Drosophila melanogaster: one gene and its partner. The protein of the gene in region 2 interacts with the protein of the main gene of each other region in a pairwise test. Each region holds a gene or a part of one and is shown on either strand. Other genes may lie near its edges. The genes, in order: AOX3 and CG34396.

Region 1 (12,089 bases), on a different chromosome or scaffold from region 2:
GATCCATTGGCTCTGGCTCGGAACTCGTAGTCCGATCTGCAGGCCCATCGTTTGCCAATGGTCTCCATCATGGACTCTATGGTCTGGACAAATCTGGCAGGTCTCCTTAGCTTTGAAGCCACCAAAGCCGTGGCGCAAGCAACTATATTGCCTCTAGTGACCTTTGCACCATACGCTCCACCCACTCGTCTAACTTGGAGCTGAATGGAGTTCACACTAACTTTCAACATGTGGGCAATCGCTCCTTGGGTGGCGTCCATCCATTGGGTGGCGCAGTATACCTGCAGAATGTTATCAAGCGGCACCACGATGGTTGTTTGTGGTTCCATAGTGAAGTGGTATTGGGACGCAAGCTCCAGGATCCCTCTGCCAAGAACATCGCCAGGTGCGAGAGGAGGCAGCTTTAGGGGTTCCACGGTATCCTTCTTCGTGCTCACAATCCGATCGGTTTGCTTTTCCGCTAACACTTGGTTCATGGTCGTGAAGATCTTTCGCTGATCCCGGGCATATGTGACCACAACCAATGTGGCAGCATAGACAGCCGCATCATGGGTGAGAGCTGCGATGACTCCCAACGGTTGATCAAAGTATTTGACTCGCCCGGCAACAAAGACCTCGTCCACTTCAGGTGTAAGCTGATTCACCAGAACGAAGTTGTTGGAGCCTGGGATATCTTCGGCCGAATAGAAGGCCACCACTCCCTTGCACTGAAGGGCAGCAGAAGGATCGATCTGCTCAATGGTGGCACCCACTCTCTTCGCAGTTACAAACGCACAATGGACGGCATTTGAGGTTGTCAGTAGATCGTTCATATACGTGGCCTCGCCAGAGCACTGAATGAGACCTGGAAATCCAAATCGATAATAATAATACCACGTATGGAAAAGGGTTTTCTTAAACGATGTACCTTCTAGTTTTTGAACTGGTTGCGTGACGGGATAGTTTTTTTTAATCGTCTCAAAGGATTGGCTTCCCGAGGAAAGTGGTCTCTCCAGTAGCAAGCCTCCAGTCCGAAAACGCTCCCGAACTCGCTCCTTGGGTGCGGTGGCCAGCAGAAACTTGTAAAGCAAGGAGCAGGCTAGCATTTGGCGATATTCCGGGGAGGCCTCCGGAGGACGCTCCTCGGGTTGCAAGCTAGCTGGGAGTTCCTGAAAGATCTGCGCAACTGTGGCGGGATCGTACAGATCCCTGCCAGGAAGCAGTTGCTCCACTTGGTCATCGTGTATGTAATCTGGTCGAATGTTGCCGAAACATATGCGTGCGGAGTGGACAATCCTGTGCTGAATGTCCTGCCATTCAATGAGGAAGCCTGCATTCACATAAGCATGAACATTCTGCGCTCTGGGCAAGATCTATTGTTTGGAGAGGAGATTGATTCAGTTAACTAAATTCATATTTTTAGGAATAAGTTCATCCACCTTATAAGATCTAAACAGGAATCTGTCCTTTGGATAGGCTTTTAGGATAAAACCACCCAGCACCAGTTTGGAGGTTGTATCACCGAGATACGTCAGCAGGTTCATCACCCTTTGGGTACTGGGATTGTCGTAGACGAGGACGTGGACATCCAGAGCCTCAAATGTGATGAACACATCGGAGGGAAATTCAAAATGTTGCTTCTTGATGTTTATGTTGCCCGCCAGTGTGCCATTCTGTGAAAATTTAATTATAAATTATTTAAGTAATAATATTTTACAATTTGTTTCATTTTTCATTTCTAAATTTTTTTTTCAGTGTCTGCAGCGACTTGAATTGATTTACTATCTTTGTTGTGAAAGTAAAATGGGTTTTTAAGCTAAAATGTTCTCTGTGCTAAGAGTTGATTGCTTTTGTTAGAAAACTGGACAGTAACTCAAGGCAATGCCTGTGATTTAAGAAGTAAATTAACTTTGCTATATAAACGAACAATACTTCAATGGTGGAATAATAAATCGAAAATTCACTGGCCTTGAAATAAGTTTTTAAATAAGCGTTTCACGGGAGAAAGAGCATTCAATTGTCAAAAACTACTATTATTTTCGCTAATCTTCGTCTTCGCCAAGCGCCGAAACGGGTTTCTGGTTTTATGGAGCACTCTACTCACATTTCGCACCGGCACATTGGCAATCAGGTTGAAGTGCTGCCATAACTGGGCACAATACTCGAATCCGGGCCTCTTGGCAGCCAGCAGGAAAACTTGCATGGCATCCGTGAGAGTGACATTACCGCCCAGCAGCAGGTGATCCGTCTCAATGCTGTACTGCCTCAGCTCCGGCACCATATTCACGTCAATGAAGTGTCGGATGTCCCTGGGTCGCCGGTAAACTCCATGGGCGGTGTTCCCGGCCACCAGCATGTAGAGTTCTCCGTTCGCCACCTGACTAAGGGCTCCGAAGAGCTCCGTTAGAGTCTTTGGCCAGTACCACTGACTATCCCCATGATCCCTCAACGGAGGTCTCGAGCAGCTGCCCTTGCAGGATTGTCCAGTTCGCGGGCAGAGCAGCTCGAAGGAGTCCTCGATGTCCACACTTTCCGCCGGAACCTCAACGTTGCTATCAACCGCGAAGGACTTCATGGCATCCAGAATGGGTCGATAGCCGGTGCAGCGACAGAGGTTTCCACCGAAAGCGTCCTCCACCTGCGACATGCTCACCTGCCCGCGATGTTGCTCCAGCAATCCGTACATGTTCATCACGAATCCTGGCGAGCAGTAGCCACATTGGGTGCCATTCATCTGAGCCACGCGCTTTTGAATGGGATGGTAGCCACTCAGTTGGTTGCCCAGTCCCTCGTCCGTCATGATCTCCGCATCGTCACAGGTGTTCAGAAGCGTCAGGCACTGTGGAATGGGCAGAAATAACCCATAGTTTAATTATATTTTAATTCTAGTAATTACAAATTTAACTTTTTATTGCTCGCTGTATTCAGGTGTGGAGAAAGCCACTCCCCGAAAAGTGACTTCTTACCGAGTTGGCTGCCCTGGACTGAACCTCCTGGGTGACCGGGTGGCGCCTGCGGATGACGCAGACGCACGAGCCACAGCCGCCCTCCAGGCACATGTACTTGGTGGCCGTCAGGTGCAGGTGCTCCCGCAGGAAGGTGTTGAGGGTGGTGTCCGGTGGATAGTCAGCCGCCTGCACCTCGTACGGAAAGCCATTCACATTGAACTTGATGCTCATCGCTGCACAGTCGTCGGTCGAATGGAGCTCTTTTGGTCATTCGTTTCTATTTCAAAGCGCTGCTGAAACCTGATTTCCCGTTAATTAGGCTAAACGGGTTGGAGCAGATTAAAGTGCCATCTAAAGCATACACTGAGCGAAACCGTGCACTCTGCGAAACTTACTAAGTTTTTGCTGATGCTTTGCACTTAATTGACAGATTTATAATAGAAATTCCGCTAAACACTATTTTATGGTTTTTAAAGTGATAACTTCCAGAATTATCGTTTTGTCATAAAACACAATATGAATGAGTCAAAAATTTGAAAGAGCTGTTAATGTCACGTACGAATGATAATCCCACCAAGATATTTAACTTGATTATAACAATGCAACCAAATGCATTTCAATATAAAAACTTTAATAATATTTCAAATATATGTATAAAGAAAGAACCATATGTATATGTAAATGGGACAGAAGCCGATCAAAACCACATATTTACTTAAGCCTAAAACTGGCTGCTTCATGTCCTGCATTGACCACCAGAGTTTCCGGAGTTGTGGGTGCACCCAGACGCACCCACTCCCGCGGTAGTCCTGCATCATGGCGGGCTGAATCCAGGGCCTGTCGCAGGGCGAAAACCACACTCACAGCCAAACAACAGGGTGGTTCTCCAGTGGCCTTCGACCGCATGAAGCCCGCCCCAGAGGGATTGGGTTTCTGAATCAGCTCAATGCGAAAATCAATGGGAATGTCCTTGGCACCCGGCGGCTTGTAGTTCCAGGTGCGGTTGGTGAGGAGGCGACCTGTTTCCCGGTCGTACACCAGCTGCTCACTCATCCAGTAGCCCAGGCACATGACAAAGGCACCCTCAATCTGACCGATGTCTATCCAGGGACTCAGGCTCTCTCCGGCATCCTCCAGTATATCCACGCGCTTGATCTGACTGTTTCCAGTTAGCACATCCAACTCTACTTCGGTTAGGGCCAGACCGTAGATATGATAGTTTTGCATATCGCCCTTCTTGTAGTGATCAGAGGCAATCAGGTTGATCGATTTGCCATAGGCAGCTTCAACTGTCTCAATCCAACTGGCATCCTTCTTCTTCACCGGCTCCAAGCGACTGTTCAAGGTCTCACAGGCCTTCCGAACTGCATAGCAGAGACTTTCGCTGCCCACAGCTCCTCCGGTGACCATCGAATTGGCTCCATTGATGGTGTCGGAGGACTCCACCTTGATGAAGCTCAAATCGATGCCAAGGGTGTAGGCAGCCACTTGAGCCACCTTAGTGTTCATACCTATAGGAAAATCAATATGTTATCAATGAAATAGTATCTTAAGTGGGCTGTTTACTTACCCTGTCCCATTTCAATGCCTCCATGGGTAACCACAACAGTGCCATCCACATGATAGATGGCAACTGTAGCCGGGTACTGGCCAAAATAGAAAATGGGGTAGTCCATTACCGCCAATCCGAGACCTCGTTTCGTCCAACGATTCTTGGCATTATGGGACTCAATTTCTTTTTTCCTCTGGGCATATTCCCTAGACTCAAGGAACTGGGGAAGCAACTCGGATATCTTATTACCCGCCGCAATGTTTGCAAGACGAACTTCAGCCGGATCTTTCTGAACTTCGAAGGCAACGTGCTCGATGATGTTCTCAATCATGGCAATACCCTCCACCGATCCCGGAGCACGACACCAAGTGGAACTGGGCGCATCTGTTAGCACCGCATTTCCGTTGTTTTTAAAGTTATCTCCGTTCAAATCATAACAATTGACGGCCGTGAAGGTCGAATGACCCTCAATGGGACTTTCATTCGGACTCCAGCCAGCGTCCTCATAAAAATCATTCGTCAAGCCCACAATCTTGCCATTATCCTTAATGTGACACTTGTAGTCGGAGCGACAAGCCCACCGCTTGCCATTGCAATCCATCATGGACTCCAGGGATTGGACAAAGCGAACGGGACGATTTAGCTTGTAAGCAACCAATGAAGCTGCACAGGCCACCTGGTTACCTCGGGTGATCTTTGATCCATAGCCACCTCCCAATCTACGAACCTGAATATAATAGATTTGGAATTAGATTCAGGAGATGATAATTCAGATATTACACATACCTGTAGTTGAACATCCTTGGCCTTCACCTGCAGCATATGGGCAATTACAGACTGGGTTTGATCCATCCACTGAGTGGCCGAAAAGATCTTGAGACCATCCTCAAAGGGAATGGCCACAGTTGTCTGGGGCTCCATGGTAAAGTGATACTGCAGACCCATCTGGAAGATGCCCCTCACTTCCTTGTCCGGCTGTTCCGAGAACTTGATCTTCTTGGATGTCGATTTCGATGCTGGCACTATGCGAGAGGAATCCGGAGTTGGAGATGCGAATACATCTCCTAAGCTCGGCTGCAGCTTGAAGTCGGAACTGGGATTGCTGTAGCTGATCCTGACCAGCTTCGCGGCTCTGTGTGCCTGGTCAGCAGTTAAAGCAACGATTACACCAGCTGGCTGCTCTGAGTGGCGCACCAATCCCGAGCAGAAGATCTCCTCCACCTCGAAACCAAAACTGGGCTCACAGAAAGTGTTAGTGCCGGGAATGTCTTTGGCACTGTAAAAGGCGATCACTCCAGGTTGCTTGAGGGCTTCGGAGGCGTCGATAGAATCAATGGTGGAGCCCACTTTGGTGGCGCCCACGAAGGCGCAGTGCAGCGTATTAGAAGTGGTCAAGACATCGTTCATGTAGGTGGCCTCTCCAGAGCACTGTATCATGCCCTCGACTTTTTCCACCGCTTGGGTGACGGGATAGTTCTTCTTCTGGGTCTGAAAAACTTGCAATCCAGAGGAGAGAGGCCGCTGCAGGATCTGCCCTCCGCTTCGGAATTTTTCGCCAACCTCAGCTACGGGTGCGTGCTTCAGAAGGAACTTGTAGAATAGTCCGCATGCCAACTTGGAACGGTAAGCGGGACTGGCATCCGGCAGCACTTCATCAGGCTTAATCAGATCTTCCAGTTTTGTGAATGTCTGCTCCACCAGACTTGATTCGTAGGGATTCTGTCCCACCAGCAGTTTCTCAATAGCTGAGGCATGGATAAAATCTGGACGGATTCCACCGAAGCAAATTCGAGCAGATTTCACCTTGTTGTCGGCTTCCAATTCTAGGAGAAAAGCGGCGTTGACATAAGCATGGGCATTTTGGGCACGAGGCATGATCTGCGGAGGTTTAAGTATAAGAAAATATATTCCAAAGTTAGCTTAAGTTGTATACCTTATAGGACTCATAAATGTATTTGTCCTTCGGGTAGGCAGGAAGAACAAAAGTTTTGAGCACCAGCTTTTTATCATTTGTGCCCAGATATTCTGCAAGGGACATTTCCTTTTCATCAGCAGCGTTTTTCAAAGCTACCACTTTAACATTCAGGGCCTCAAAGGATATGAAAATATCCGAAGGAAACTCGGGATTTTGTTTTTTGATCGAAATATTGCCAGCCAAAGTTCCAGACTGTAACGATACGAAAATAAATGTATAACTCAAACTAATCAAAACAAATCTACTTACGTTTCGCACTGGAACATTGGCAATCAAATCAATGTGGTTCCACAGAACGTCCAAGTACTCAAATCCTGGCTGCTTTGAAGTAGTACGAATGATTTCCATGGTCTGGGTGAGACTGAGATTAGCTCCTAGCTTCAATTGCTGTCCCTCAGAGCTGTGCTGATGCAGTTCCTCCACTCCCTGGACGTCGATGAAGTGCTTGATATCCGTCGACCTTCGGTAGACCCCATGAGCCGTGTTGCCAGCCACCAACATGAACTCCTCCGAGTCCTTCACCTTGTCTAGGGCGTCGAACAGTTCGCTTAGACTCTTGGGCCAGTGCCACTGAACACCATCTTCGTAGACCAAAGTGGACGGAAGGCAGCTACCACTGCAGGCTTGTCCGGTCTTTGGGCAGTTCCGGGGTTTTAGATCCTCAATGTCCCCGCACTCGGCGGGAATCGCAATGTTACTGTCCACCGCAAAGGACTTCATGGCATCCAGAATTGGACGATATCCAGTGCAACGGCAGATATTCCCACCAAAGGAGTTCTCCACCTCCGCCATGGTGACCTTGCCTTCGTTCTGCTCCATCAACCCATACATGTTCATCACGAATCCCGGCGAGCAAAAGCCGCACTGGGTGCCATTCATTTTGGCCAGACGCTTCTGGATGGGATTGTAGCCGGTGCGCTGATTGCCCAATCCCTCGGCGGTCACGATCTCCAGCTGGGCGCAGGTATTCAGCAGAGTGAGGCACTAAAGAGAGGTAATTCATTAGAGATCGATCGGGTTAGTTGCACGGAATATGCTCCAACCGAATTGACAGCCCAGCTGCGCTTTCCATCGCGCACCACGCAGATGCAGGCGCCACATCCTCCCTCCTGGCACATGAATTTGGTGGCCGTGAGTTGGGCATGCTCGCGGATAAAGGTGTTCAGAGTGATATCCGGCGGAAGGTTAGTTAGATTCACTGAGGAGTACAACGAGTGATGGAGCGGAGATGAAGCGCATATAGTAGTATGGGTATAATTAATTACAAAAACCTGAATGTGAGCTTGTGAAAAAACATCGAACAATGGGCCTCAAATTTGCACACTAATTTGTTTACCAGCTGCGTGTTCATATGTGTATACATATGTAATTTCAATTAATGTTATTCGAGTTCCACAGCCACTTGATTTTGAGATCTGGCGAATTTAATGATACACCTGCTTTAAAGCTAGAGGCGTTGCAACGTTCAGAAGTAAACACTCTCATTAGAGAAAATTCTAGTATTTAGGGTATCTACAATGTGTACATATATGTAACTTTATAGCTAACTGATAAGTTACGAGAACCAAGCACTTGATGGTGAAGTATTGCCGTGAACTGATTTTCTGGCCCATAGTCGATAATCACCATGATACATACATATGTAGCTACATATGTATGTATAACTCACCTGCATAGGGCAGCCCATTGATTGAGAATTTCGTAGTCATTCTGATAGTTTTCCAGCAAAAAACGGCGTAGCAAAAACTAAAATGTCAGCTGCTGAAGTGTTTTCTATAAATAATTCAATTAGTTGCGACTTGGCCAGTGGCTTTCCATTATTTTCCATTTGCTGCTCACTTTTTGCTCCGGTCGCTGCGAGTGTTGCTGTTCGACTGACTGATCAAAACATTGGGGCTCGAGTAGAGGTTCCTCCGTTTTTAGATTGCGATTTTCTCGAATGCCGTAAACAAAAAAAAAAAAGTTAGTTTCGACACACTCCGTGAGAGCCAACAACGATTTGAGCAGCCTGTCGAGCTCGACGATCGACGTTAATTGCAAATTGTGGACTGGTTGCTCCTCGCCTCGACTCGAAGTCTCTATGCGCAAAAAATCAAAAAAAAAACTGGTGCCGCCGAATTTTGCTTGTTGCTTTGCCACCCAATTCGTCGGCAAATTTTCGATGTTTGTAAAAATAGCTGTGCAAAGGGGGCATAGAATCGGCAGATGTACACTTTAGATACCCTTCCGCGCTATGAAACTTCCAAATGTAATAGTTAAAAAGTATTAATATATTGTATCTCACCAATTAAATGCAATTGATAGGGTATGCAGTAGCTGCCAATGAAATGAACAGAAATATTGCTGAGTCACATAATTACTCTATCAACAGAGAAAGCCTCTGTTTAACTAAGATTGCATTTTAATTTTATATGCCTATGATTTGATTAGATACATATGAATTAAATATTTTCAAGGTATTGTATGTATAATAATGACTATTCCAAATGGGCAGACTCGCAAATATGCTTTTAATTCGTGACGAGCGTGATACGAACTATAAAAAAACCGGCAAAGCGAATCACGTGTACACTAAAAATAAAAGAGAGTGCCGCGATAAATGTAAAGAGAACGATTTAGCCGGCCGGCGAAAAAACATACAGTTTTTCTCTCTGTTCGGAATTTGGAGCTTTCAAAACAAATAAATCATTTTGAAAGCTCCGGATGAAAAAAAAACTAGAATATCAAGCTTTGGATGACATAATACATTGAGAAAAACGATTAGTTAAGCAAAATGAATAAATATGAATAAAAAATGGAATGCAAGTTATGTTAAAATTAATTAATTGCATATGTAGATAGATTTTTAATTGGCGTAAAATGTATATTTTTGGATTATAATATTGACGATACTTTTTGCATTTAAAATATGTTTATCCGCTCTTCGATATATTTAATTGACATTATTTCAACTTGAACTCCGAGACTTGGTGTCCGGCATTTAGTAGCAGAGTCTCTGGAGTTGTGGGTGCCCCCAAGCGAAGCCACTCCCGAGGAAGTCCTGCATCCTGGCGCGCTGATTGCAGAGCCTGTTGAAGTGCAAAAATCACACTAACAGCCAAACAGCAAGGAGGCTCTCCGGTGGCCTTTGAGCCCATGAAACCCGAACTACTCGGTCGTGGATTGTGGACCAGTTCCACGCGGAAATCAATGGGAATGTCCTTCGCACCCAACGGCTTGTAGTTCCATGTGCGGTTAGTCAGCAGGCGACCATTGTCGCCCTCGTAGATGAGCAGTTCGCTGAGCCAGTAGCCCAGGCCCATGACGAAGGCGCCCTCCACCTGACCGACATCTATCCAGGGACTCAGGCTCTCACCGGCGTCCTCTAGGATGTCCACCCGCCTGATCAGAATGTTGCCGGTCAGCACATCGATCTCCACCTCGGAAAGGGCAAGTCCCAGCACATGGTAGTTCTGCATGTCGCCGGTCTTGTAGTGATCCGAGGCTATCAGATTGATCAACTGGGCATTGGCCGCTTCCACAGTCTCCACCCAAGTGGCCTTGGCCTTCCTCACTGGCTTCAATCGGGCATTGAGCGTCTCGCAGATCTTACGGACTGCGTAGCAGACACTCTCGCTTCCGATGGCATAGCCAGTGACCATTGAATTGGCTCCATTGATGCTAGTTGAGGACTCCACTTTCACGTAGCTCAAATCGATTCCCAGGGTATAGGCCGCCACTTGAGCTATCTTTGTATTCATACCTATAAAGCATAAAGGAGGTAATCACTACAAATCCTATAAAAGTCTGCTCCCTTACTTACCCTGACCCATTTCTATGCCCCCATGGGTAACCACAACAGTGCCATCTACATGGTAAATAGTCACCGTTGCCGGAAACTGCCCAATGTAGATAATGGGGAAGTTCATCAAGGAGAGACCCAAGCCTCTTTTTTTCCATCGATTGTTGGCATTGAATGCCTCGATCTCCTTCTTCCGGGAGTAGTACTCCCTAGTCTTGAGGAACTCTGGAAAGACGGTTGCCATCTTACTCTTCTTACTAATGTTTGCTAGTCGCACTTCGGCTGGGTCTTTCTGGATTTCGAATGCCACGTGCTCGATGATGTTCTCCATCATAGCAATGCCCTCCACTGATCCAGGAGCACGGCACCAAGTGGAACTTGGGGCATCCGTAAGAACAGCATGACCACTCAGCTTGAAGTTGCTATCGGTGAATTCATAGCAGTTGGCTGCTGTGAAAGTGGAGTGTCCTTGCACAGGACTCTCGTTCGTGTTCCAGCCAGCGTCCTCGTAAAAATCGTTGGACAGCCCGACGATCCTGCCACTGGTCTTCACGTGACACTGATATTCGGAACGACAGGCCCACCTCTTTCCATTGCAATCCATCATGGACTCCAGGGATTGGACAAAGCGAACGGGACGATTCAGCTTATGGGCAGCCAAGGCGGCTGCACAGGCAACCTGGTTACCTCTGGATATTTTGCAGCCATATCCACCACCCAATCTGCGAACCTGCAACGAAAGTACTCAAATAATAAGACAAAAATTTATTTAAGTATTTGTCTTACCTCTAGTTGCACATCTTTGGCTTTCATCTGCAGGGTATGAGCAATCACTGATTGAGTCTGATCAATCCATTGGGTAGCCGAGAAGACCTTTAGTCCATCTTCAAAGGGAATAATAATAGTGGTCTGCGGTTCCATGGTGAAGTGATACTGCAGTCCCATCTCGAATATGCCCCTCACTTCCAAATCAGGTTTGTCAGAAAACTTTACTTCCTTAAGCTTTGATATAACCAAGGGTATAATGCGAGAAGTATCTGGAGTTTCGGAGGAGAACACATCCTTCAAACTCGGCATCAGCTTGAAGTTGGAACTGGGGCTGCTATAGCTGATCTTGACAAGCTTTGTTGCCCTTTGGGCTTGGTCAGCAGTAAGAGCCACGATTACACCCACTGGTTGTTCCGAGTGGCGCACCATTCCAGAGCAGAAAATCTCCTCCGCTTCGTAACCAAAACTGGGCTCACAGAAAGTATTCGTTCCGGGAATGTCCTTCGCAGTGTAAAAGGCCACCACTCCTGGATGTTGGAGAGCTTCCGTAGCATCGATTTGATCAATGGTGGCTCCCACCTTTGTGGCGCCCACAAAGGCGCAGTAAACGGAGTTGGAAGTGGTCAGCACATCGTTCATATATGTGGCCTCTCCGGAGCACTGAATCATGCCCTCCAGCTTCTGCACGCCCTGTGTCACGGGGTAGGTCTGTTTATTGGTCTGGAAGAGCTGCAAGCCGGAGGAGAGTGGCCGCTGGAGCAGCTCACCGCCGCTCTTGAACTTTCCGCTGACCTCCGCATCGGGGGCGTGTTTCAAGAGGAACTTGTAGAGCAGTCCGCAGGCCAATTTGGAACGGTAGGCGGGACTGGCATCGGGTAGAACCTCATCCGGCTTGACCAGACTCTCCAGCTTGTTGAATGTTTGTTCCACCAAATTTGATTCGTAGGGACTGTGACCCACCATTAACTGTTCAATATCTGTGGCATGAATGAAATCCGGTCGAATTCCACCAAAGCAAATACGGGCAGATTTCACCATTGAGTTGCCATCCAATTCCAGAAGAAATCCTGCATTAACATAAGCATG
Region 2 (10,188 bases):
ATATTCATATGTGGAAGTAGTGAACAATTGTGTGACTTATTGCTGGGCATTATCCTGCGGCTCAGTTCCTCGCGAAGCTGAAGGACTCGTCACCAGGCGGGAATCGATTTTGTGGCCTCGCTTAATGGTATTCCATGGGTGATGGCAATACGAAAACAATGCCAACGAATGGTATTGTGTATATTTCTAGTTGCGCTGTCTGTCTGTGTTCCTATGGGGATACTATAGAATCCTGTCTGCCTGGACATATCTGTGTGTGTGTGTGTGTGGGTAGTTGCCCATAGTGACGCAGGACACCAATCAAAGAAAGGATACTACATTGTGGGTTAGCTGGCGTCCAGGCCGAAGACTTTATTAATCCTTTGTGTATATTTAGCGACCACTTTATGAGTTGACTGCCATATATCTTTCTGTTGATTTATGCCAAGTGCAAATTGACTCCGTTTTTTTGTGCCACATTCTCTTTTTTATGGCGGATATAACTTTGTGTTGGCTTAAGCTCGAGAAAATGACCCAAAACGATTGTTCGGAAGGATTAATGTTCTATGCTAACACGTTCAAAGAAAATTAGCTTGACTCAGCAAGTGAATATTTATCATATTTATACTCGCATTTGAAAATGAATGTGATAAAGCAAACATTATTCAAACAAGCTGCTTTAAAATGGTAATCACGAAATGTGTTAATTCATGGGAATTTGTGAGATGATTCAATGTGAATTTATAATTAAAATTAAAATTCAATCAAAATGAAATGCGCTCCCATGGCTTCCACTTATTTTCGATTTCTTTCAAGCTATTTCATTTGTAGCTGAAATGACTTGGCATAATGTTTTCAAAATGTCCTCCCATTCGAAGAAGCTGTCAATAGCTGCTCAATGTTTTATAAGCCATAGCGGCACGAAATCGAAGTAACTCGAAGGACCCAGGACCTCCCACACTTGGCAGCCCAACTCAACCACATCGAAGTGATTCGATTTATGAGCCAGTGGGTGGAGTAGGGTGCCTTTTGGTTCCGTGCCACTCAACATAATTAGGGCCAATGACAATCGAATCGGACTGCAGCAACTGCACCACCACCAGGAGCTTCGTTTCGATTTATTTGGACGCCGTTGCCAGGACAACGGACGAACACCTGGCCACGAGCAAACGGGCACAACAAAACCACTTGGAGAAGGCGTTAAGCCACTTGGGTGTTTCATTTTCCTTTTTTTTTTGTTGCCTTTAAGGGGTGGCACATTTAGAGCGGTCAACTTTGAGGCCAAAAAGTGAACAATTCCGTGTAATGCCGGCTGATGGCCCCTTTTCTGCTGGCGCTGATTGCTATGGGCTGCCCGAGTTTTCCAAGAAAGGAGTGGATTTTCTTGTTTCTAGACCACATTCACGAACCGTCGGGCTGGAAGAGTTAAAAGGCCAGTGCTAACTTGCCTTGATTCATGGTCAATTGAAAAAAAGTTCTTAAAGAATTCTTAGCTAAAGCAAAAGTTTAATACAAGTAGCCATTAAATTGTTCATAAATTTCGCTGTCGTATGTATAGATTGGTTTTGTTATAATATAGGATCGTTGGTTTAATGTGTCCACTTTATGAAGATTATCAAACACAATGGATATGAATGACACATTTAAAGAAATTCAAATTTCAGAGATTACATTATCAAAGATTATAGGTTTGGTAAAATCTAGAAAAGATCTGCCAAATTGGAGTGTTGGGTTTACCTGCTGTTCCATTTTCTGATTACGACTGTTGATTCCGGACATTTTTGCAGTTATGGCTGTAGATTTCAGAAGGCAATCAAAATCCTCTGACGATTTTCACTTAACTACGCGCGATTCAGATGATCCGATGAAGAGGCATTTGGCAAATATTCGGGAGTGACAGCTGTTTTGGGATTTGCGTTGAAGAGCGACTTTTCGAATGCGAATGAATGCAGCAAAACAAAAACCGATGGGGCACCAAAATAATTGAAGAAGAATCTATGAATTTAGCACACCTGGCGTCAGTTTGTATGGTATGGTATATATTTTGTAGTTTGTGGTAGTGTAGTACGGCAGCACACGCGACAACAAAAAAATCAAGGGGTGTTCACGAGGGTGAGGATTTGTAGACTGAAGCCAACAGCCGGCTCTTCCTGTTCTCGCTCAATTTTTTTTGTACCGACGCGATCGATCGGAATTCTCCGGATCGCTGGCACTGAATGTTTGCTTTAGCCACTGAGCGAGTACCGCCTGAATATGCATATATTTATAATGTTATACAATCTATGTTGTTTGACAAACACTTTCGTGCCCGTTGAGTTGCGTGTGATATTGTCCAATTGATTGAATTTGGCGCCTCTTTATTTTGGTAGAGGAGAGAAGGCGATGTAACCCGTCGACCGAACCGCACGCTGCCAAAACAACAACTGGGCGTCCAACAGAAGCCGTCAACTCAGGCGAAGTGCTCGTAGCGGAACGGAATGGAAACGGAACATGCACACGAATGCCAGCCGAAGCAGGAGTGCGAAGCATGCCATCCTGTCGTGTGTCAGCGAAAGAGAGGCAGAGAGAACCACAACTCGCTCTCAATGGGAATGGGTCTCTCCCTCTCTCCCTCTCTCTCTCTCTCTCCGCACAACGCCTCCTGTGGCTGCTTCCTCTTCCATTTCCTACGAGCGACAGATGTGCAGCTGCCGACTGCGACTGCATTTGGATTCGCGCCCCCGACTCCCTGTTACTGGGATTTTGGGATGCATTCCCGTACAAAGCATACGCATCTGGCAATTCGATTCCGGATTGAGCAAAAAACCACGCTGATAACAGGATAATAGAGTGTTGAAAAATTATACAACTTTATGATTATGATCCTTAAGCGGAATTTACAACAATTAAAAACATCAATTTGCGTTGTCAACTCGCGCGCTTTATTTCATTAACATTAGACTTATGCTACGATGATGGTGAGTAAAATTAAATAACAAATAAATGAATATAGAGTTTCGCGTTACGGTAAATTCGATTGAAATTGCCTTGTCATTTTTGAGGTTTCTTACACGTTAACTTTGTCGGTTTTTTTTTTGTTTGGAGGCGGAAGATCCCAGGGATTCTAGAAAAACCTGTGCTTTTTCTTCTTCTTGTTCTCCCCCTCCGCCGGCGGCTGGGGATCCACGGAAACCTGACGCCTGGGCAGCAGAGGTGGCGGAGTAACATCCCCAGCTCCAACAGCATCGGCTCCAACTCCATTAGCATCCACTCCATTGGACGCCGGCGATAGAGGACGCGGTGCGCGCAGGATCGAGGTGAGTGGTGGCACCGGGGAGTGGCCATTGCCATTCGCCTCCTGGCCATCCTCCTCGATCCTGTCCAGTCGCGAACCGTGCACCGAGGCAAGCTCGGAGGGAGTCTTCACCTGGGAGCCGCCCTCATCACCAAGCTCGCTGGTCATGTTCATGCCAATGGTGGCGCCCACTTTGGCGCTGGCCATTTTGAAGTGATCGCTCAGCTTGATCTGCACCACATTGATGAACATGGAGGTCAGGGCCAAGCCGAACATCAGATAGATCATGCTGACCATTACGTAGAAGGGATTACTGGGCACCAGGTCGCCGAACCCAATTGTGGACATCGAGATGAACACGTAGTAGAAGGCATCCAGTGGAGTCCAGCTGGGCTCCATCATTAGAAAGCCGAAGGATCCTAGGAGGATGTACGTAATGAGCAGCAGCGAGGCCACCGACACTGGCAAATTGAACTCGTCGTCCACCTCGAAGGTCTCTGGATAGGGTGATGTGGGTGTCTCCGGGTGCGAGGTGCCCACCGATCTTGCGGCCTCGGCATCCGCCTGCGACTCCTCATCGTTCTCTGGCGCAGAGTTGCTGAAGAACATGCTCGGCCTGCGGATGGCCATGTCGTACATCGTATTGAAGCCTGTCATGGCGCTCCGGATCTGCTGCTGCTTTCGTATCCGGCGGCAGGAGCGCGTGTAGTACATCCGTCGCACATACACCCACAGGAACTTGACGCAGCGCGTGAATAACTTGCCCAGATCGGCCAGCACGATCAGGAACATGGGGATGCCGATGATGGCATAGACGATGGTCAGGGATCGACCCATGCCCGTCTTTGGAGTGATGTGGCCGTAACCTGGAAAGGAAGAGAAGAAGGCATGGGAGTTAATAAGTTAAATATGACTAACTAAAAAAAGAACCTAAAATGGAAATATGCTCATATATAAGAACTAACGAAAGGATTTAGGAGTTTTGGATGGTTATGGGTCCATTGTAACCCATTACCTATAGTTGTGATCACGGTCCAACAGAAGATGAAGCAATTGACAAAGTTCCAGGACTTTTGGCCCGGATAGCGGCGTAGTCCCAACTCGGCTAAATTATTTAGTTCATCCTCGAAGCTGCGCAGCTTCTGGCGGGCAAGAGACTTCCAGTCCTCCTCTCTGGCAAAGATACAAATGAATCACTCACAGAACTGGGCTACCACTTGGCACCATTGGTACTACCTCATGTTGTGGCTGACGTCCCACAGTCGGTCTATGAAATCCCGCTTCACCTTGCGCACCTCGCACTTGTATATATTCTCCGCTGCTCCTTCCGTGTACCGGAACAGGAGTCCTCCGAATCCCAGAAGCATAGCCATGCAGATGAGATAGGCAATGCACCTGTTGCGTAGCTGACGCAGTTCCTTCACCTTTTGGGGATAGTCCAGCTTGAGGCGTTTCCATTCATGCCGGGCTTCTAGGCTGAAACTGTACAGCAGACCCCTGGAGGCCAACTTCTCCAGTGGCAATTCTGTGGACAGATCTGTGACATCTTCGCCCTTTGCCTGAATCTTCTTCTTTCGCCTAAACAGATTTTTCAGCCGCTGCCATAAGGTAACTTTGGGTTTCGCCTCTGAGATGGATTCCTCTGGCAACAAGGGTTGATCCCCAAGAGATTTTGGTTCCGTATCAGCTTCATTTGTAGTAGTTCCCTCAAGGAGCTCTTGAGTTACCTGTTCCTTTCTTTCCAAACTGCCCGATCGCTTGGGTCTTAGTGGACGCTCCAAACTGGAGCTGCGCTTTTGAGGCTTCTCTTCCTTATCCGCTAATCTCAAGCTGTGACTGCGACGCACTCCCTCCGCCGTCAGGATTTGCTCCGCCAGGGCGGCCTCCGCTTTTGCCGCCCGCTCAGCGGCCTCCATGTACTTTTGCATCAGCTCCGACTGCTGTTCTGCCTCCGAGATGCGGGGCTTTATCACCTCGTCTCTGGACTCGCCCACCTCCAAGTACTCGTGCTTCCGGAGGATCTCCTCCCGTTGCTCCGGAGTCTTGGATCGTCGCTGTGGTCTCACGGGCGACAGGGAGTTGTTGCGACTCACAGACAGCCTTTCCGGTGGTTTTGGAGCTGTCGACGCCGATGGCGGCGGTGGAGGTGCGCCGCGGATTGGGGCTGCCACAAAGCCCTGGGGAATCTTAGGTGCTCGGGGCCGCGGGTGAGTCTCCTCCGTCGCATCGGCATCGGAGGAGCTGAACTGGGTGGAGGACTCATCGTAGCCGCTACTTCGATTGCGACCCCGAGTCTTGGGCGCCTCGTGTCGCTGCAGACGCAGGCTGTGGATGAGGCGGCGCCGTTCCTCCTCGTCCTGCGGCAGCTGGATGCGATCGCTGAGCTTGCGGTAGCTCTGCAGGAGGCGCTTGCGCTCCTCGTTGTCCAGCTGCTGGCGATGGCGCATCTTGTGCTCCCGCTTCTCGCGCTCAAAGAGCCTCTTCTCGGCCTCGAAACGCCGTCGTTCGTCCTCGAAGCGCTGCAGATTCTGCTCCAATCTGCTTAGCGTATCCTGTGTCTGGCCAAGATTAGGAATGGGCCTTTGCTGCTGACTACTGCTGCCGGTGGTCAGCTCACTCTCGCTGGACTCCTCCTTGTGCCGCGGCGAGGAGAGGCTGCGATGCTTGATCAGATGATTGGCATCCGGACTACTCAGCTTCTCAGCCTCCCGTGGCTGCGATTGACTACGCGCCGAGGAGCTGGCGAAGGACTTGTCCCGCTTTCGCAGGATCTTGCTCTCGTGGGCGGACATCGAGCCGGGTGGCCTGATCTGCATGCGCACCATCTGAGGTGATGGATCAGGGAGGGCATCCGGACTGGCATCGTCCTGGGGCAGGGCGTCTCCAGTGACGGGCGTCGGTTCCCGGTGGCTGCGACCCAGGCGCCTTCGATGGCGCTGCTGCTGCCTGGCGTCCATCGGCTGCTCCATCTTGTCCAGCCGCAGTCGTGTGCTACTTTCGCGATCTATCTTTGTGCTCGTGCTCGTCATTTAGCCATCTATTAATCTATTTTTAACTGCCCAACGAGGCGTTCATATTCCACATATGAAAATATGCCTCGGGTAATTATATCACTTTCGATTGCAATTTCGTATTATATGTATGTATTGTGCACTTTCTGAAACTTTTAAAGTCTGCACTTGTCCGAAAATTTTTGAAATTATTTTGCTATATTATCTATTTGCATATAGAATTTTATGTATCTGCTTCTTTCGACGTCGCGACACGATCGAATAGATTTAGCTTCTATTTCTCGCTTCCTCGTCCACGGCTGGCATCCAACTGCTCTCAGCAGTTGGAGAAAATTCAAATATTCATTTTCACTTTGCTTGTCTATATTTTTGGTAGATGTCTCAACAGCTGTTCGGCTATAGATATCTATATATATATATATCTATAATGCATCCGATGATGTTTTTGATGATTCTCTCTTACTCAATGTTTTATGTTCTCTTAGTGAATATTTAATGCTTATAAAAAAAGCACCAGGAATTTGTCTTAGTTAAACGATCTTCATTAAAACTATTCATATGCATAAAAAAATAACTGTTTTTAAAAAAAAAGACTAAGAAATTAATAATCAGGTCGATTGTTAAAAATAGTTTTAAATAATTTTATTGAAATAGAAGTTTCAAAAAATCCGCCCCTTGTGCCTAGTGTGACCGTATAATATACAACCGTATATACTGAAACACATGGCCGTGGCTATCGATAAGTCGATAACGAAATTTGAATTTCTTCCGTCTCTAAATATTTTGGTTGATCGGAACGCGCACGTGTTTTTGCGTTCAATTTTAATAATATTTGAAAATGGGATTTGGTAAACCTCGTGGCGGCGGTGGCGGCGGCGGAAGAGGCTTCGGTGGAGGCGGAGGCGGAGGAGGACGAGGATTTGGTGGAGGTGGAGGTGGACGAGGAGGTGGCGGAGGACGCGGAGGTGGCGGCGGATTCGGTCGAGGTGGAGGTGGACGTGGTGGCGGCCGTGGAGCCTTCGACACTGGTAAGTGAATGAAAGTCGCCAACTATTCCTATAACTAATCATCCAAACTAAGCTAGCCTGTGAACTAAGGCTAACTACGTCACTTAAAACAAGCAGTTAATACAGATTGTGCGAATAGAATTACAATAACCACGTTGTTCTCTCAAATTTTGAATAGCCAAGCCGTTGTAGGCTATAATCATGGGCTATATATATAAATATATTAGCTAAAAACACATCTGGAAGTCTCCTATAGGTATACGCTGTCTTAAATGCTTGCTATGTTCAGGCAAATTGCCAAATACTCATTTCCATTTTGTCACTTTAATAATATATCTTATTTTTTTAATTGTAGGTCCACCAGAGAGAGTCATCCCCTTGGGCAACTATGTTTACTCCTGCCAAAACGACCTTGTGTGCAAAGTTGATATTCAGGATGTTCCCTACTTCAACGCGCCCATTTTCCTTGAAAACAAGGAGCAAGTAGGCAAAATCGACGAAATCTTTGGAACAGTTCGGGACTACAGCGTGTCCATCAAGCTGTCGGACAACGTCTACGCCAACAGCTTCAAGCCAAATCAGAAACTGTTTATCGACCCTGGAAAGCTGTTACCCATCGCCAGATTTCTGCCGAAACCTCCACAACCAAAAGGCGCCAAGAAAGCCTTCACAAATAACCGAGGTGGAGGCGGCGGTGGCGGTGGATTTGGAGGCCGAGGTGGCGGCCGCGGAGGAGGTAAGATAGTGAATTTCATGAGTGCACCCCAAAGTCCTAACTTGTGTTTATCAACAGGTGGTCGCGGTGGTGGCGGCGGACGAGGTGGAGGCGGATTCCGAGGAGGTGCTGGTCGCAATGGAGGAGGTGGCGGCGGCGGCGGTTTTAACAGAGGACGAGGAGGCGGTGGCGGCGGCGGCGGTGGTCGGGGTCGGTGGTAGTTTTCAGTATCAGATCCTAATCAAAACATTTAAAGAAGTGTACAATCCAATTGTTGTACATGTCCAAATAGTTTCTAAGCAAAACCTCATCATTTGGGTATTGTTCGCTGACCAATCAATCGAATATTGTACCATAAATGATACTAAAATAAATTTCCTACAAATTTACAAACATGATATAACTGAAAACATATAGTTAATTGAAGTTTAAGTGATATTTTATCATTTATGAAGACAGTTAATTAACAATAGAATGTCAAACATTTGCTCACTTATTGAGAAGATAGTGGTTTATAACGAAAAATGGTTTTGTGTGAAAATAATACATTTGATTAGAGCACCTTAATGATTTATATGAAGTGGTTGCACAACTATCATCGTCTAGAATTTGGGGATCAATAATGTATCGACTTTATGAGAGAATCGCACTCATCCGAATTCCCTTGAAATTTTATGAATTCTTCGAGGTTTGTTTAAAATGCCCAATACTATTCGGTATGGGGGTTTCCTTCCGCTTTCCAATTGCCGTTCGATTCATGCATATAATTTGTTAAATTTGCAGCTGTTCTCTTCTCGAAGAACGAAGAAACTTTTGTGTAATTATATGTGCCAAAAATCGAAAATGATTTCTTTTTGCCTTCTCATATATTATCTTTATGCCCACTGACGTCATTGTGGGCTCAAAGTATTTCTGCACTTTCAAAATACAAATAAATTAAAATTTCTTGTATAATTTTCATCAGATACTTTCCGTAGCCCCTTTGTGATCGATCCTCTCCCCTGAAACGTTGATGACGGATCGTATTCGCTTTTATGGAATTTCGCTGTGATTTCGTATTTGTTTATTTCTAGGCAATTTCATTCAACATTTCCGAATTGCCTTCGCGATTTGTTTTCCATTTGGGCATGCACCATTTTATAGAATTGTCGGCCATAGAATGATTTCAGTAAGCGTTATTTTAATCGCAGCAGCAACAGTTTTATGATTTCGCATGATGATTATGAAGTGTTTTCCGGTTTATCGATCTGATAAATCAATAGAAACCAGTAATAAACAAGATACATTATATGTTTATATCTTACAAGTCACTCAAGTAAATATTTTATGGTGAATTGTGTAATATTTTTGTGTCATCTTTTGCTTAAATTAGCTGCACACTAAATATAGTGAGCTTAAATTTAAATACTCAGGTGAGTCACCGCAGACCTCCAAGGCAGACTCTCGATTTCAAATTAAGTGCGCTAGATCATAAAAAAAAATCCCATTGAGGTTCTACGTTTTGTTTATACATATCTGTGCCAATTTTGACAAGTTGATTATACCGAATGCACTCAGCACTCAGCACAATTTGCCATCCTGTTTACAAGGCAGCAAATTGTGTCGTCGCATTGTGGCAATAATTTGGCAATTTGTGTTAATTGCTTTTGCGTTGATGTGGGTGCAAAGTTTTCCACACTCGCAGATTTATTCGAATTTCCCACTTTTTGGCCGTTGGGAAAAACTTGTCAAAAGTGGCGACGAATGGCCAGAATTTATTTACCAGAAATACGCTCGCCATATTTCCATTTGTCTTACCGAAAGTTTAACAAGTCGACGTGCCAAACATTAATTTTAGAACAAATCCAAAAAGGTAGACAATCGAATAATAAGGAGGCTATCAAGCCATTAACTAACCGCATCACGAATGTGAAACATAAATTCTTAAAAAATAACAATCATTTAAATTATGATTAAATGATGCACCACAAACGATTTGTTCGGTCGTAATGATTTCCATTTTCATGGCATGTTTATGGTCGTGAAAAGTCTTTTGTAATTAAAAGTGAAATGAATAACCAATTTAATCGAGAATGTGTGTAGAGTGTTAATTCGAGGAAATTCTTTCGTGAGTTTACAAGTCTCAATTGCGAAAAGTGACAGTATTCCAAGGAATTTGGAATCCTCTTGAGAAATCTCATAACTGTCTGCACGCGAAGAGAC

What was found.
Region 1: the proteins of CG34396 (region 2) and AOX3 interact in a two-hybrid assay, tested with the Drosophila melanogaster proteins (one large-scale study listed by BioGRID).

The regions. Positions count from the first base shown.
Region 1 is NT_033777.3:15,539,232-15,551,320, forward strand, and holds AOX3 (aldehyde oxidase 3), read right to left. Parts: upstream 8,958-12,089; 5' UTR 8,739-8,957; intron 8,686-8,738; 5' UTR 8,294-8,685; intron 8,228-8,293; 5' UTR 8,164-8,227; coding exon 8,124-8,163; intron 7,653-8,123; coding exon 7,498-7,652; intron 7,439-7,497; coding exon 6,704-7,438; intron 6,647-6,703; coding exon 6,413-6,646; intron 6,358-6,412; coding exon 5,266-6,357; intron 5,207-5,265; coding exon 4,498-5,206; intron 4,439-4,497; coding exon 3,639-4,438; 3' UTR 3,517-3,638; downstream 1-3,516. Other genes in the region: AOX2 (aldehyde oxidase 2), read right to left, coding at 1-844, 908-1,352, 1,419-1,652, 2,084-2,818, 2,946-3,158; AOX4 (aldehyde oxidase 4), read right to left, coding at 9,397-10,196, 10,257-10,965, 11,022-12,089.
Region 2 is NT_033778.4:21,094,146-21,104,333, reverse strand, and holds CG34396 (uncharacterized protein), read right to left. Parts: upstream 6,577-10,188; 5' UTR 6,223-6,576; coding exon 4,490-6,222; intron 4,427-4,489; coding exon 4,269-4,426; intron 4,120-4,268; coding exon 3,083-4,119; 3' UTR 2,881-3,082; downstream 1-2,880. Other genes in the region: ktub (king tubby), read right to left, coding at 1,717-1,758; Gar1 ribonucleoprotein, read left to right, coding at 7,103-7,292, 7,627-8,007, 8,065-8,207.